Linked DNA regions of Mytilus edulis. The protein of the gene in region 1 purifies or fractionates together with the protein of each later gene. This does not show direct contact. Links are inferred from orthologs where the notes say so. Each region holds a gene or a part of one and is shown on either strand. Other genes may lie near its edges.

The links.
Region 2: the proteins of sugar phosphate exchanger 3-like (region 1) and all-trans retinoic acid-induced differentiation factor-like purify together in Homo sapiens (affinity purification with mass spectrometry; 3 studies listed by BioGRID and IntAct, counting the BioPlex papers as one, with this or other methods). This does not show direct contact. The link is inferred for Mytilus edulis from reciprocal best matches to the Homo sapiens genes SLC37A3 and ATRAID.

The regions. Positions count from the first base shown.
Region 1 is NC_092344.1:15,891,571-15,900,114, forward strand, and holds the start of sugar phosphate exchanger 3-like, read left to right. Parts: upstream 1-5,024; 5' UTR 5,025-5,183; coding exon 5,184-5,248; intron 5,249-6,800; coding exon 6,801-6,915; intron 6,916-7,721; coding exon 7,722-7,814; intron 7,815-8,080; coding exon 8,081-8,112; intron 8,113-8,544. Other genes in the region: serine/threonine-protein kinase Nek3-like, read right to left, coding at 111-218, 582-678, 1,393-1,493, 2,247-2,513, 4,779-4,874. UniProt on the Homo sapiens protein: Unlike the other SLC37 members, lacks glucose-6-phosphate antiporter activity.
Region 2 is NC_092344.1:119,472,946-119,482,163, forward strand, and holds the start of all-trans retinoic acid-induced differentiation factor-like, read left to right. Parts: upstream 1-5,793; 5' UTR 5,794-5,863; coding exon 5,864-5,920; intron 5,921-9,218. UniProt on the Homo sapiens protein: Promotes osteoblast cell differentiation and terminal mineralization. Plays a role in inducing the cell cycle arrest via inhibiting CCND1 expression in all-trans-retinoic acid (ATRA) signal pathway.

The DNA.
Region 1 (8,544 bases):
AGCATCATGAAAATAAATTCTTCTCACTCAAAATTTGGCATCATTTAATTTCTACTTACTGAAAAAACAAAATATCTTCTATATATTTTCTGGTACAAGTTTATACATACCTTCCCTGATATCACATTATGGATGATTTTAAATATAGCTTTTCCTTCAAATGCTTTCTTCAGTGCCATCATTTCAAATACACAGCACCCTAAGCTCCAAATGTCTGACTGAAAAAAATCAAAATATTCAAATTAAGTTGAATTTCCTACATCATACACTGCAAATCTTTTTTTTTTTTATCTGATACATCACTTTATATAGCATGAGCTTTTACTAACTATAAAATGAAGATTATGTTATGTTTTGTACCATAAAAGGTTGCTGAGACAAAATCATCCAATTTCCAATTTGCAACTTGGTGCATGAGGAGGGTCAATTTGTTTGACCCTGTCACATTTTTCTTAAGGTACAAATGTAATAACAACATCGGCTTTTTTGTTCAATCCCAATTTTATATCAGTCAAAATGTAATATATACATTCAATTTGCACATTCAGTGATTCTTTGTACAAGTACCATTTTATACTTACACGATTATTATAAGCTTTTTGTTCAAACAATTCAGGACACATATAGGCAGGAGTCCCCACAAAACTGTTAGCTTTACTCTGACCAAGATCCAACACTCTAGAAAATATTTTATCTTTAATTATAAATCAAATCTTTAAACATCTGTGAAACAGTGCTTGAAACATTTATTTTCATATCATTTTCAAATGTACAGTAAATTAAAACATTCAAAATTAAAAAAAATATAACTCATCAAATACATTTTTTAAGGTGGTACCTAACACTACAGGGAGATAACTCTGTAAAATCAGCAGAACGTTTTAATGATGTTGTGTTGTTAAGGGAATATTAAGCTTCTCAATGATCAAAATAAGTTTTTGTCAAACTGCTATATAACCAGTGTAATTTTTCTGATTAAACAGTTGGTTCAAAGTTTTTGAAATTTTTATATTTTTGTCAAAGGGTCAAACTAAATACTTTGTCAAAATTTAAAGAAAATTAAACGAGTCAAATTAATTTTAGTTCAGGTGTTAGGTACCACCTTAACTTAAATTTTAATGCAGGGAAACATATTTTTCAATTCAGTGAAGTAATACAGATCAAGGCTAACAATAATTATTAAATCTGAAATGTAATGCAGAGTATCATATTTTTCAGTTCACAGAAGATATACATATATGTACGTACAGTATTCATCAAAATAAATGAACAGCATTTATAGCCACTTCCTTTACTTTCATTGTGATTAATATAATATTAAAGGATGTTATCTCCTTCATATTGCAAAGAGGTCAACGTATAAGTTTCCATCCTACTATCAATATAACTTACTTTGCTATACCTAAATCACCAATTCTAACATTCCAGTCAGTCATAATAAAAATGTTCTTTGTCTTCAAATCTCTGTGTAATATCTTTCTTTCATGTAAATACTAAAAACAAACATTGTATAAATTATAAATTTGTATTGTGCGAGTATGTTACAAAATGAGGCTTCACAACAGCATGAACATCAAAACTTTTACCTTTCAGAAGAGATAAATAAATAACATATATATGTTTTAATTCTTGTCAACACAATGACACATGCTAAAAATATTTCACAAATATTGATTAAGACATAAGAATATATATAGAATAATAGGTAGTTTCGTTTTTGATACTGACTATATCATGTGGTATATCTAGACGAGCCTGTTATTCTGTTTATCGGTAATTATGTCGTCACACAATGTATTGCCTAATATTTTCAGTGATACAGCCAGTACGTTGATACTCGAAAATATTAGACAGTAAGATCAATGGGAAAATATATGAATTACCGATAAACATGTATCTGGGACTATTATATTTACTAGTACAATAGTCCTCAGTATGCCTAGGCACTGGGAAAATGTTTGTTGTAAATGAAAATTTAGTAAGTTTACTATGAAACTTTTTGTTGTTGAGGAATTTGATTCACTGGTAAAGGAAAACCTACATTAATTAACTGGTAAAGAATGGGATGTACTTAGGGCTTAATTTCGGTTTGAACATTGTTTTACAAAATCAGTGCATGAAAATGATTGATTTGTAATGTACATGTTACTACAGACACATACCTACATGTACATCATGTAGGTATGTGTCTGAACTGTAAAGTTATACATGTGATATTGATGTTTTTTTGGTAAATGTTAACTTACATGTAAACCACTTGCTATCTGATAGATCCATATTGCTATCTTATTTTCTGGTAACTGTTCCTGTATTTGTGACTTGTATTCCAAGTAAGTCTCAAGATCACCACGTTCACAGTATTCTGTCACGATAAACAAGCTATCATCCTCTTCAAATGATTCAACATACTGTAAGATATTATCATGGCGAAGGTTGGATAACAAATCTGCTTCTCTTTTAGCTTGTTCCCGTTCTGATTCTTGATCACCGAAGTCTATTCTTTTGAGGGCAAACTACAATCAAATGCATATAAATATATATATAAAGCAAGTTGTTGCTAAAGCATCAATCAGACAGCAATCCAAAAACATAATTAGGGGTCAACATACAGCATTTAACAATAGGCAATTACCATTATCAATGTTATCGCAGAGTTCTCAGAAAGAATTTTCATAGGTGAGTCCAGTTACTTATTGTTTTTGGACATTCAGATTCCAATCACGTAACAACATATTCATAAAAAATTTAAAAGTCTTCATGACAAAATAAAGCAAGGAAATGAAATCAAATTTTAATAGGTTTATCTTTTAACTTTTGCTGTGGACAAAGGATGAAATAATAATAACTGGACTGAGCTGGTACTCTTGATGCACTTTGGGACTCACTTATTTAGAAAATAATGATAAGTGAGAAGGTTTTTAAAATGAGTCCAGGACTCATGCATTCCTCTTTGTGTAAACTGTACATGTAGTATTATCAACCTATGAACATGATGAATTGCAAATGATCTTTTCTAGCAATTGATCATGAAGGCACAAATAATTTAAACTGGCATTGTAACAATTCTTTGAATTAGTCCAAATAATAATGACTTTTTGTATGGCTTTTTGACAAGTTTGATTTATCCGAACCCAGTTATAGGGAGAATCATGCCTGACTAAAGAACAGGCTACAATAGACTAAATAAAATACCGCCATCAGATAGGCCACTCCATCACACCATACTGAGAATGTGGGGATGAAGAAAGCACAGAACACTTTAAATTTTTGCTTAACTGTACAACAATCTCATTAATGAGATTGACTGTACAAGATACCAACAGGAATGAAAAGAAATGAAAAGACAGCTTGGGTCATAACATCCCAAAAGATCTCCAGACCCTACTAGCACTAGCGAAGAAAGAGACATATGAGAGAACAATTTGAAATTAAAATATGGCAACAATTTATTATTGTCACAGAGGACCATTGCAGTATAACATTATGATATGGTCCGATTAAAACATGTTACAATTTTCATCTTTAAATTCCGTTATTTTACCATAAATTGCACTTTCCGCCATACTTGTTTGACTGGCTGATTGCTTAGCAGTGTGTCAAGGCTGACGAGGGCGGCGCATGCCTGTATGCGGTGGCCGCTGATTTCAAAGCAAATGAAGCAACTGTGCCTATACCAAAAGTACCAACTGCGCTAACCCAGGTTAGTCGCTGTGGCAAATGAAGTACTACATGTACCAATACCCTGAAGAATTCTGATCAAGTGCCTAAACGATTTAACCTAAGTTTACAAAGTAACATTACCCAGGGAAACTACAGTTTCAAGTAGAAACAAGATAGCACAATGAGACCAGTTGTGTCAAACTAAATATTGACCTTAGCTTAGGATCAGGATGTGTGAACAAATATGAAAGCACTTTACCTCATTTGTTAGAAGAATTTTGGGAGCATTGTGAAAAGAAGAGACATAAACACTGTACTATAGGTCATTTCTAGAATCATGTCTTTCACTGGAAAAGATCGTCTTTTTCGAACGCCTTCATGACGTCATTTACCAGATAGACGGCGCGCCTGTATCACTGCTCTATTAAAAGTTTCCTACACTTTCATAATTGTCATTCTGTAGGGTAGTATATAAATAATTAATGTTCCGTAAGTACATCACCGTGATTGCCATATGACTGAGGGTGGGTTACCATCCTATTAGATTTCAATTTCCCTAATATTTTGTGCAGTATAAATTAAAACATTGACACCCGTTTGCTCAACATGTGTTGGAGCACTTTACTTTGGAAATTTTTATGCATACATTTTTGTCACATTGGGCGAGTTCACTTGAAACTCTACAATCGACTTCAGAGTTAATAGATTTTCACGTGAACGCACAAGAGTTGATATTCGGAACAACTCTAAATAACTCTAGGGCAAGGCCCTGACCAAGCATAAAAAATAAAATATTCTCATTGGTTTGACATCATTCTCGAGTTTAACCCTGGCTCGGTGAGGGTTGGAACCAGGGTATGAGGGGTTAACTTGAGTGGTTCAAGTAAAATCGTTTTGTTGAAACCCGAGTTAGTCAAGTTAACTCGAGAGTTTCAAGTGAACTCAGCAAACCGAACTCAGCCATGGTGATGAAAGTCATATGACAGAAAAAACGTATCCCGTGACTGGCCTTTTGGGGATGAAATGTTTGACAGATGATTTTGTTTAGCTCAGTTGGCAGCTGTTCAGAAATTATGTGCCAACTGTTGCAGCTCACTCCAAATTATAATGATTCATACTTTTTTGTTTGTTTCAATATCTGTTATTTGATATACAATTCCGAACGATCCCTCCCCGAGCAACTTTTCTAATTTGATTTTATCTGATCTCTCCATTAGGTATATATGTTATATTGTTTTGCCCATGTGCAACTGTTTTCTTTTTTTGTTGTTGTCCCTTTGAAATATAAACTTCCGGTTGAATGACAGGTGCTCGGCATCAGACGAGCGTTTGACATCAACAGTAACTACAACCTCTAAAACTCTTGAAATGGGATCTGATTTGACATTGACTATATTTTGTCCCATGATCGCAGAGATGTGTCAAGTGTAACATTTACTGTTTACAGTTTAAAAAGTGTAAATGTAATCACAATGTATTGAACATTGATTATTGAAATGATTACAAATTGAGAAAAACTCAAGATGAAGAGTGAAACCTCTCAATTTACATCACACCATGTGGTTGTTTTCTTACTAACATTTTTTAGGTAACATTTATTTATTTATATGTCAGATCTTATGTACAACCTGTTACTGTTGCTAATCATTAACATAACCCAGGAATTGTGCTGTGACTTGATTACATCTGAAAATATGACTGATAATTTCATCTGGAGACACTATAAAAATACATGTACCAGCTTCAAGAGGGTGGTAACGGGGGTACCTACATGACGAATAACTGTAAAATACCGAAGCTAAAATACTTGCCAAATGATGTTAATGGTATTTTTTGGTGCATGACGATCAATGTTCTCCCCAGGATTTTTGAATAACGCTGTGGTAAGCGTGTGATTTTTGACAGTTCTCAGTAACTTTGTTGTGGCATGCGGTTTGTTTATAAATGGTTTTCTCTTGTTATGATGTACATGTCCTCATGGAAATTAACCAACTGTCGTAATCAAAGAACATTAAACACAATGGATGGAGCAATTATTGGAATTGTACAGACATGTTGTTTTGAAATAGACAATTCTTGTCTAGTTGATAATATAAATTCCAGTAGGATTATATATTATGGCACTGTTTATAACAAACCTTTCCATTGAAACTACTGTTATTTAAAAGTGACATATTCTTTGACACCACAAGCGAAATAATCTTTAAAAATATGAAGAAAAACAGAGTCTTCAACATGTTCAAGGTTTAGTTACAAAACTTGTCACAATACTAAACACTGGTGCTGAAATAACTACCTTTGGAACCTCATTAATGAGGTCCCAATTTGACTTAAATTTTGTGGATGTTCAAATACTTTTTAAAATATATTGATAGTTCTTGCTTTTCTTGAAGGGGCCTCTGTTGCTGAGTTGTTTTTATTCCTTCAACTTATTTTTATGGATAAGAGACGAGGTGGACCTCTGTTAGCAAACTATTTCCATTCTCAATTTAGTATGGTGAATCAATAAATTATTAAACTATTTTTGCTGGCCCTCTGGCATGGCAGAAAAACAATTTAAAAAAAAATCACATATGAAACTTTGAGACAACTTAAATAACTTATAAATAATAACAATAACAATTGTTTTATGATGTGACATTTTATATGATATATATATTCTATGATATTCTCTTCATGTGAATCAAAATTTTAATTTTATCTTCATTATATGTTTATGTGTTAAGAATCAGAATGTATTGTGTATTGTTGTCATTATGTCCCGTCAGGGGCCCTTAATTGGAAAATAAAGAACTTTGAACTTTGAGTTGTCTAAAAATACATGTACATTTATATGTAGTATGATGAGAGTTTTTGCAATATTTCCAATTATACACTGTGTACTATGTTCATTGTTTGGATTGTCCATTTAATATCTGAATATGTGTATAGTGATTTTTTTGTCATGAATTAATATATCATATCTTTTCAAATGATCTTTTAATTTGTCAAATCTGTATGTCTGATTGACAAGCAATCACATGAGAAAATTACAAATATAGACTACAAAACTCAATACCAGTCCTTCTTAATAACTGTTTGTTACTAAATCACATAAATTATTAACTTAAGTAACAATTCAAACATTTATCTTTTGTTAGTTATGCCTTTTTCCATGCAACAAGAAAGACCTTCAGCAATGTCAAAACTACTATTTCGGCAGAGTGGACACCTTCCTTTCATAACTCTACTGTTAACAAGACACAACCAGACAAGGTAATATATGTGTAAAACATTTAGCAGATAACCCAGAGATTTCAAATGCATCTATAGTGGTAAGAATAATATAGAATTGCACATTTCTTTAAAACATGTTTCTTTAACTCTTGTCAAAAATTTTTTTGGAATTGGCCTGTTCAATTTTTGAATTTTATAGAAATGTAAAGTTTGACTTTATCCACAAACTTTGATCATATTCATAAACTGATTTAAACAATGCTACTCCATTTCCAATAGATCCATATAGAAAGATAGATAAAGTTGATGGAATGCCTTTATGTAACCAATTTAATCAAGATGGCAGCGATGATAACACAAATAAGCTCAGCGTAATTTTTTTAATTTATTTTAACTTTCATTCGTTATTCCATTAAAAAATTATTACCAAAACATTTATTTGAATGATTATGAGATATTATTCTAGTTTATTTAGTAAATAATATGTTCATGCGCCAAGCCAATTCAATGACATGAATATACAATTAACATGTATTAGAGGTTACAGGTGTGAAAAATAGATTTCTTAAATCCAATTTTAAATAATTATAAGGATAATACACCTTTTTAAAGGAATTTTATTGGTGTATAAACTGGACCAGTCACTCACAAACATATCATAAAAGTCCTGTGGTCTTGAATTTGCTTGTGCGTGACTTGGTCATGTTTTTACACCAATACATTCCTTTAGAATGGCATTCAATTGTATATTAACTGATGCTGTTACTAAAATGTAATCAGTTTAAGAATCATTGGCTGTAACCAACACACATTTTTAATGTTTTAATACTTTTATAATTTGACAGATATGGAATTCTCACACAATGTTTGACAATCCTAAAGATGCTGAACCATTCCTTGGAATGTTAGATGGGGCCTTTCTTATATCTTATGCCGTGGTATGCCTTTACTTAAGTTAAGACTATATTATTTTTGTCAGAAAGTGTTTTTTTTTAAAGATTAACTGATTTTCAAGGAAAGAAGTTATAACATTGACAAGCGTGATAATGATACTATATTGAAATCAACATTTTTTTTTATTTTCTTAATTAGACTTTTATATCTTCATTCTTAATGTGTAAAATTTTAGTTGTTTGCTGATAAATTTTAATGTCAAGTATGTTTCTTTTTTTTTTATAATTTAAAATGGTAACTATATTTGTAGGGACTCTATATCAGTGGAATTATTGGCGACAGGTAAGAAACTAAAGGGAGATAACTCATAATAAATTATTGTGTATTAATTGTATTATGTTAACACCTCTAAAAATAAAACAAGTGGTAAGAAGAATCTTAAATTGGAGGAAGACACACCATATTTTGATCATTGATGTATGCAGAATCAGCCTTATAAATGTATGAGTATGACAGTAAAGTTTCTAAGCAATAGCCAATAGTGCTGGTTTTCTATATTTTATGATTTAAGAGCTGTCTTGCCAAAGACTAACACTGAAATACATACTCCTCATGTCTGTACAAACAATTCATGAATGTAAAAAAGAAAAAATACAAGAAAATACATTGACACATGAAGTTTGAATATATTTACAAAAATTAAAAAAAAAACAAAAAAAAGTAATAAGATGAAGGGCATTGTTGACCCATAATTCTGAGATTTTACAAATAAAG
Region 2 (9,218 bases), about 100 Mb from region 1:
CGCGTATCAAAAATAAACTAACAGAACTAGCCAAGGAATTTGTTTTTGTCCCGGCTGATAAAGCTGCTAATAATATCATTATTGTTTGACGTAAATTTTATATAGAGGTTCTGCAAAAGGAAATCACGAATTCACCAACATTCCAACTGACTTCATTTTCAGAAAACGACATCTGTAACAAACATAAACTTTTAGCTACTTCTTTACAAGCAGAACCAAACACAATGAAAGTCCCAACTATGTACTGGCTTCCGAAGCTGCACAAAAAACCTTACAAATATAGATTTATTTCATCTTCCAGCCATTGTTCAACTACTAAATTGTCTGTTTTACTTACTAGTACACTTGGTACAATAAAAAACCTGATAATAAATTGTTCAAATAAGGCCTTTGAAAATAGTGGAATTAATTACTTTTGGAGTGTCAAAAACTCGTTGGAAGTACTTGATAAATTGCATGCATATATTGGTGATTTTGAATCTGTTCAAAGTTTTGATTTTTCTACCCTATATACCACTTTGCCTCATATTCTTATTAAGAAAAAATTCACATCCCTAATTAACTGGGCATTTAAAAAGTCGGAATGCGAGTACATATGTTCAAACTCTTTTAGATCATTTTTTAGTAGCAATAAACAAAAGAACTATGTCAATTGGACATGCTTTGATACTATTTATGCACTTGAATTTTTACTTGATAACATTTTTGTTCGCTTTGGAGATTCCGTATATCGTCAAGTTATTGGAATTCCAATGGGGACTAACTGTGCACCACTTATTGCGGACCTGTTTTTGTATTGTTATGAGTTACAATTTATGACTAAAATTAGCAAAGACCCATCAAAACAACATTTGATACAAAAATTTAACAATACTTTTAGATATTTGGATGATATATTGGCTCTAAATAATGACGACTTCAGTATGTATACTAAAGAAATTTATCCTGTAGAACTTACTTTAAATAAAGCTAATGATAACAATGACCACTGCCCTTTCCTCGATCTTGATATCTATATCATAAACGGGAAGCTTAATACAAAAATTTATGATAAAAGAGATGATTTTTCATTTCCTATTGTTAATTATCCATTTTTAGATGGTGACGTTCCCTTGTCACCATCTTATGGTGTTTATATATCTCAACTTGTACGATTCGCTCGTGTATGTAACAATGTATTAGATTTTAGCGAGAGAAATTTATGTATTACTGAAAAATTATTACACCAGGGTTTTCGATATCACAAACTGGTCAAAACATTTACTAAATTTTATCACCGGTATAAGGAAATAATTCGTAAATATAACTCAACATGCAGACATCTTATACGTTCAGGTATTTCACATCCAAAATTTTATGGAAATATTCTTTATAAAGCACAAAAATGTCAGTATTCTCCTCAGAAACTAACAAAACCTTTAAATAGACTTATTAAAAGGGGATATAGTTACGATACTGTTGTCAGGTCATTAAAGATTGCATATTTTGGCTTTAACATTGATTCACTGATAGGGTCTTTGCATCGGAACTAAACACATTTATTTCTAAAAAAAACAGTTGTTGGCATGACACGGGTTATGTTCTTCTCATATATTTTATGATAGTATGATACTAAACCCCTAACGGGAGGGATTGTACCTGATATTCATATGATGAAGACATAATCTTTCAATCAGTTTAATTGAGGTCTGGAGCTGGCATGTCAGTTAACTGCTAGTAGTCTGTTGTTATTTATGTATTATTGTCATTTTATTTATTTTCTTTTGTTACATCTTTTGACATCAGACTCGGACTTCTCTTGAACTGAATTTTAATGTGCGTATTGTTATTCTTTTACTTTTCTACATTGGCTAGAGGTATAGGGGGAGGGTTGAGATCTCATAAACATGTTTAACCCCGCCGCAATTTTGCGCCTGTCCCAAGTCAGGAGCCTCTGGCCTTTGTTAGTCTTGTATGATTTTAAATTTTAGTTTCTTGTGTATAATTCGGAGTTTAGTATGACGTCCATTATCACTGTACTATTATGCATATTTTAGGGGCCAGCTGAAGGACACCTACGGGTGCGGGAATTCTCGCTACATTGAAGACCCATTGGTTGCCTTCGGCTGTTGTTTGCTCTATGGTCGGGTGGTTGTCGCTTTGACATATTCACCATTTCCTTTCTCAATTTTATTTTGTCAGATATAACTTTTGAAACATGTGCACATGCTATGGACGCCATTTTGTTATTGTTTACATACTGTAAAAAAGCCTCCAGAACCATGATCTGAACATTAACAGTCTCGGAATACTTAAATAAAGTCAACAGTAGTATACTGCTGTTCAAAACTCATAATTCCATAAAAAAAAAAATCAGGGTTACAAACTTAAACCGAGGGAAACACATTAAATATAAGAGGAGAACAACTACACAACACTGAAATGTAACACACAAAGAAACGGACCAAGCATCAGAAAAAATCCCACGATAATAACAAATATAACATCAAAACCAAATACATGAATTTGGGATAGACAAGTACCGTGACACGTCTTATCGCAATGTGAATTTACACTCAAAAATAAGAGAAAACAAACGACGCAACGTTAAAATGTAACACACACAGAAACGAACAATAATATAACAATGGCCATCTTCCTGACTTGCTACAGGACATTTTTAAAGGAAAAAATGGTGGATTGAACCTGGTTTTGTGGCATGCCAAACCTCGCACTTTAATGGCAATGTACAATATAACATTGAAATGACAACATAATATAACAGGACTACAATACAAATAAATAGGAGAACATATTAGACAAAGAAACACATGATTAATAGATAACAAAAAGCATCAGGTTAAACTTGATGCAATAAATTTTCATCAATCATGATAATCTTTATTGATATATATTCAAATGAATTCGATTTTTAAGGAAATATTTTTTTTTAACAAATACAATTTCAGTTCAGTTAAAAGACCGTGCTCAGGTTGTAATCTATTTATAGCCCACAATAAGCTTACCTGTGATAAATGTAAAAATGGACATTACTGTACTTCGTTTATAAAACAATTATAAAAGCTATTGATGGCGATACTTATTCACATAAATATTTGTGGCTTGAATTTTATAAACTGATAACAAATATGAGCATTTCATAATTAAGCAGCTGATAATTCTTTTAAACAAACGTGATAATGTATCTGGTAAAAACCCTCCAATCCTTTATAAACCCATGAATAGCGGTGGTGAAGACTTGTTTCATCAATCGGGATTTGTTCAACTCATTATTACAGGATATTCAGTGAATATTCAATTATCAATATATCTGCTAATGCCAGTAATTAGATACTTAGTAGTTTTTGCCAAGTTTTGGGTATCCAATTTGCACAAATCTACTGTACAATGGATAAAAATTGTTAAACTTTATATAATTCATTGTTATTGCAGCAAACTCTGAAATTGTGAGGCATACTAGGGCTAGTAGGTCAGTTTTGCTGGGCTAGTAGTTCTTCCAACAGGGCTAGTAAAATCATGCTACCAATTAGCCGTGGGCTAGTGAACTTATACAAAATTTCGTAACCCCTGATAATGGTAAATGGAATGCATGTTAAGACCATTAAACAGATTAAATTGTGAAATCTGATTGCCTGGGCTTATTCTTCAGGCTAACAAGCCAGTTAGATTAAATATCGGATTGATAAATTATAATTTGTACAAAAACATTGTTCAAATTATAATTTGTATTTTGACTTTGTACAAATTGTAATTTGTACAAAAAGTGCCTGTACACATTATAATTCGTAAAAAATTAAGCTTAATTTCTCTTATAATTTGTGTGAATTCATTGTAAGTAAATGATTTCTTTGTGGCATGTTGCCTTTACATCATCTTCCCATCCTTACTGTCGAATGGACTTTTAAAGATTATGCATGTCTAACCATTTTACATGACGATCTCATGTTCATGTTATAGCTTCAGATTCAATTCTCTTTTTGTTTCGATAGAAATTTAAGAAAACCCAACACCACTTGTCAGTTGGTATAAAAGGTTGCCAACAATCATAATACTTGATGCATCGTATGTTTGTATAGATACAAGGGAGAAATCATTTAACTTTAAAAGTGGGGTATTATGTTTTTTGTCTATTAAGTCAAATATTTTTCCGTGCAAAGCATTCTTTTTTTAGTTTTTCAAGGTGATCAATCTACATTTTTTTTTTCTCAAAATTTAACACTACAAGGTTTAGGGCAGATAATTATTAAGACATTTTGTTGTCACCTGTTTAACCACAATATTTGTTTTCATCCATGCAAAAAGGGTGTTGTAAGGGAAAATTGATATTAACAATGAGGAAAGTGAGGGAACATTCCTTTTGCAAAAGAGAGAACATTACCAAAGGGATATTCAAATGTATTTGTAAAAAACTACTGGCAATGCTGTGTCAAAAAAGCAAAAACATTTCGGACGCTAAAATCAAAATCAGAGAATAAATACGAAAACCAGACACCAAAACAGACGTAAAAAAAACCAACAACAGATGTTAACAAATCAAAAGCAGAGATCCAAAACAAAAACCGACATATAATTTCAAAAAAACAGTTAAAAAAAGTAAATAAAACACTTGAATAACGGAACAGACTTGAACATTGATGAATAAAAAAAAAAGACGAAAAAAAATGACATTAAATTTAAAACCAGACGTTAAAGTTCAAACAGAAAAAAAATAGAAAAAAAAAAATAATCCAAGACGATTTTTTTTATTTAATTACAGATGTCAAAATAAAAAACAGACATACCATTTATAAAAACCATACAACAGAGGACAAAAACGGAAATAGACACAAAATCTATAAAAGGAGTGAAAAACACAAAATTAATAACCAGAAGTTAAAGAAAACCCCACAGACATCAAAAACAAGAACAAACATAAAACAGGAAAACATTTGTCAAAAACGAAAACGCACATACCATTGAAAAAAACCCAGACAACAGAGAAAAATCTGAAAATTAACTCAAAAGAACGAAAACAGACATAAAACTAAAAAAAGTGTAAATTTAATATTACTAACATAAAAAGGAAGCAGACATAAAATTAAAAAGCACACGTTAAAAAGAAAAATGAAACAAACATATTAAAAAAAAAGGTCAAAAACAAAAATGGACAACAGTGTACAAAAACGAAAATAGGTACGAAGAAAGAAACAGACATAAATGAAAAAGGCATCAAAATAAAAATAAGCACGACCAAAAACCAAAACAGATTTTTTTTTTTTTGGACAATAATTAGGTCGTTTGTTTTCTCGTTTGAATTGTTATACATTTGTCATTTCAGGGTCTTTTATAGCTGACTATTCGGTATGGACTTTGACTCATTGTTGAAGTCCGTACGTTGACTTATAGTTGTTTTTTTCGATGTCATTTTGTTTATTGTAGAGAGTTGTCTCATTGGCAGTCATGCCTCTTTTTCTTTTGTTTTTATATATAAAAAAAAGAAAAGAACAAACACAGACATGAAATTAAAATTAAGATGCTAAAAAGTCTCAAACACAGGTAAAAAACGAAAACGGAAAATATACAAGAACTGGAGTCATTGTCAACTTGTAGCTTTATCATGGCAAACAGGGAGTCGTGACATTTAAAAATGCAGACATTTATTTTTAAAACACTTTCATTGCTCATTAATTAAAAAAAATCTATTCAAATTTATGTTCTAAAAGGTTGTTATGATTCACTAGCGAACACCCTTCATTTCTCCTCAACCGAAAGTAAATAAAATACGTTACTGTACACATTTTTTTATAGGTTATGTTGGTTTTAGGTCATATTACTAAAATAGAGTTATTTCCCTTCTCACCAGGAAGAAAATCAACATTGAACGATGTTGGTCTACATAATAATCACATGTATGATATTACCGTTGTTTGAGAGTGAAAAGGTAACGATGAATATTAGGAATATAGTTTCAATAATTCCCATAACATCATGAACTCCAAGGAAAATTCAACCGGAAAGTCCCTAATCAAATGGCAAAATCAAATGACAAAACACATCTTCTTCTTCTTCTTCTTCTTCCATATACAGTTCATACCACCATCTGGTGTATTATCGAACTGATGCGTGGTGCAGACAAACCAATATTTACAGTGCAGTTAAAAAATAGTATGTACAGTTAAAAATTTCGCACAGTCCTTAATACATCTTGGTCTTCTGCAACTCACACTTGAATGTGTCAATTGAGTTGCAGGCTACAGTAGTTGGTGGTAGACTGTTCCATAATCTGATGGCGTCTGGGAAGAACGAGTACTGGTAAAGCTGCGTTCTTGCGAATGGAACAAGGAATCGTTGGTTGTGTCCTCTTAATGTTGCTGCTGTTGGGATTAAGCAGGATGTTGGTATTGCAACCAAGTGGTTAACTATGCGGTACATCATTATAACTTTATTCGTTGCTCTACGCTCTTGTAGGGTTGGCCATTGCAGCTGGTGTAATAGGTTTGTTACACTAGTGGTTCGGTGGTAGTCACCAGTAACAAATCTTGCTGCCCTACGTTGTACCATTTCCAGGTTGTGGATGTTGTTTGCTGTGTGTGGATCCCAAATGATGCTTGCATACTCCATCTGTGGTCTCACAAGGGTCTTGTAGCAGAGTTCCTTGGTCTTTCGTGGGCATTGTGATATATTTCTCTGTAGAAAAGCCCTGGTGTTGTTGGCTTTTCTTACTACTTGGTCTATGTGAGTAGTCCAGTTTAGTTTGTGGTGGATGTTGGCCCCCAGATATTTTGCACATTCTACTTCCTCTAAGACGTGACCATGGATGATATATGGCTGTCTGATTGGTTTCCTCTTGTTGGTAATGTGAATGACTTGGCACTTTTTGGGATGAAATTCCATGAGCCAATCATTCTCCCATTCTTGTAGGGTTTCCAGATCTTGTTGAAGTAGTTCTGCATCTTTGGTGTTTTTTATTTCCCTGTACAATACGCAGTCATTGGCAAAGAGTCTAACTGATGATTTGTTGACTGTGTAATCTGGTAGGTCGTTAATGTAAAGTAGAAAAAGGATGGGTCCAAGGACACTGCCCTGAGGAACTCCTGATTGGACAGGTGCAGTATTGGATTTACCGTTTTCGAGGACGACATGTTATGTTCTTTCGTTGAGAAAGTCTTCAATCCAGCTATGGAGATTACCCCGTATTCCGTAGTGATGTAGCTTATGCATAAGTCGCTTATGAGGAACCTTGTCGAAAGCCTTGGAGAAGTCCAGGAGGATGACATCTGTTTGTCCGGTGTTATCGACTGTTTTGGCTAGATCCTGGATAGTGATTATAAGTTGAGATTCACAGGATCTGTGTTTACGGAAGCCATGCTGTGCGTCTGTTAGTATGGTGTGTTTCTCTAGGTGTTTCATTATGCTGCTCGTGATTATATGCTCCAGCATTTTACAGGTGATGGATGTGAGCGAGACAGGTCTGTAGTTTTCAGGGCGGTTTTTAGCACCTTTCTTAAATATAGGAACTACGTCTGCCTTCTTCCATTCCTTTGGGATCGCTCCTTGGTTAATGGATGCCTGGAAAAAGACTGTGAAGACTGGTGCTATTTCAGAGCCTACGAACTTCAACAGTCTAGCTGACAATCCATCTGGCCCAGTAGCTTTGTGGATTTTAAGGCCTTGTAGTAGTTTTAATACTCCTGGTTCTGTGATGTTAATGTTAAACATATTCGGGAACTTCTGTTTACCCATTGGTTTGATGTTGTCTTCTGGTTCGTTGGAATTAAATACCGATGAAAATTGGTTGTTCAGGATGTTCGCTTTTGCCGTTGGTTCTGAATATGTAAGGCCATCTGTTGCTTTAAGAGGTGCCACTCCACTGCTGTCCTTGTTTTTACTGTTAATAAAACTCCAGAAGCGTTTTGGGTTTGAAGTGCAATCTGGTGAGATTATGTTGGTTAGATAATCATTGTAGGCCTTTTTGCATGCTGTTTTTGTTGCAGATTTTAGATGTTGATACTTTTTCTTATCCCTTGATCTGTTTGATGATTTGACCCTATTAAAGCATCTTTTCTTACGCCGTGATAGTGCTTTTATCTCTTTTGTGATCCAGGGTTGACTAAAGCGGCTGGTGGTCATCTTTGATGGTACTGATGAATCTAGGATGTTAGTTAGTGCGGTGCTGATGTCTAGCCACATCTCTGCTATAGATGACTGAATAGTGTATTTGTCTAGGAATTGTTGTTGGAATTCTAGACATTCTTTTTTCAGTTTTTCATTATCTGCTCTTTTCCATAGGTGTATTTTCCGTTTTACCGGTTTCCCTCGTTTTGCAGCTGCTGATGATTCAATAAAGACTGCATCATGATCTGATATACCGGGTAAAGGAGAGCATCTGTTGATTAGGCTTGGCCGGTTAGTAAGAAACAAGTCCAGTGTGTTGTCCAGACGGGTGGGAAAAGTGACTGTTTGCTCCATATGACAGTTGTGGATCATGTCTAGGAGTCTTTTGTTGATACCAGAGTTTACTTTATTTCCTTGAATAGATGTTGAGTTCCAGTTAATGTCGGGAATACATCATTGTCATCAAACGAACAGGTTGGGAACAAACCCCCTGGATGGTGATTATACCTGTATAAAGGGATAAACCTTCTTTAGAGGGATAAAATTATCCCTCTATAGAGGGGTATTTGTGTTTGCACTAGATTTAAAGCAAATTAGGGCAGGATGGCATTTTCTAATTATATTGCCATTTTTATTGGCTATAATCTCTAGCACTAGGTGCATCAACATTAGTCCAAATAATTATGACGTCTGGGACGGCTATTTTTTTTTTTTTTAGGAAGGCGTCCCAGAAAAAAAATTAAAATAGCCTTGCCAGACATCATAATTATTTGGACTTAACTTAACTAAGTAATTGACAAAAACACCAGAAATGACAGAACTTTAGATCTAATGTGCATGACAAACCCATCATTTATCAACAGAGTTGAGACCCTCCCACCAATAGGAGGAAGCGACCATGATATTGTCTTTTGTGAAATCAACTTTGCTATACAACACCAAAACAACAACCACATAAAGCACTAATATACAAAAAAGCAAACTGGGAGAACATAAAGGAAGACCTTATTCTTATATATGATCATTTAAAAGCAAACAAGACAAATATGACTATCGATGATCTATGGACCACCTTTAAAACAAAAACAACAGAGACCATCAACAAAAATATACCAACTAAAGTA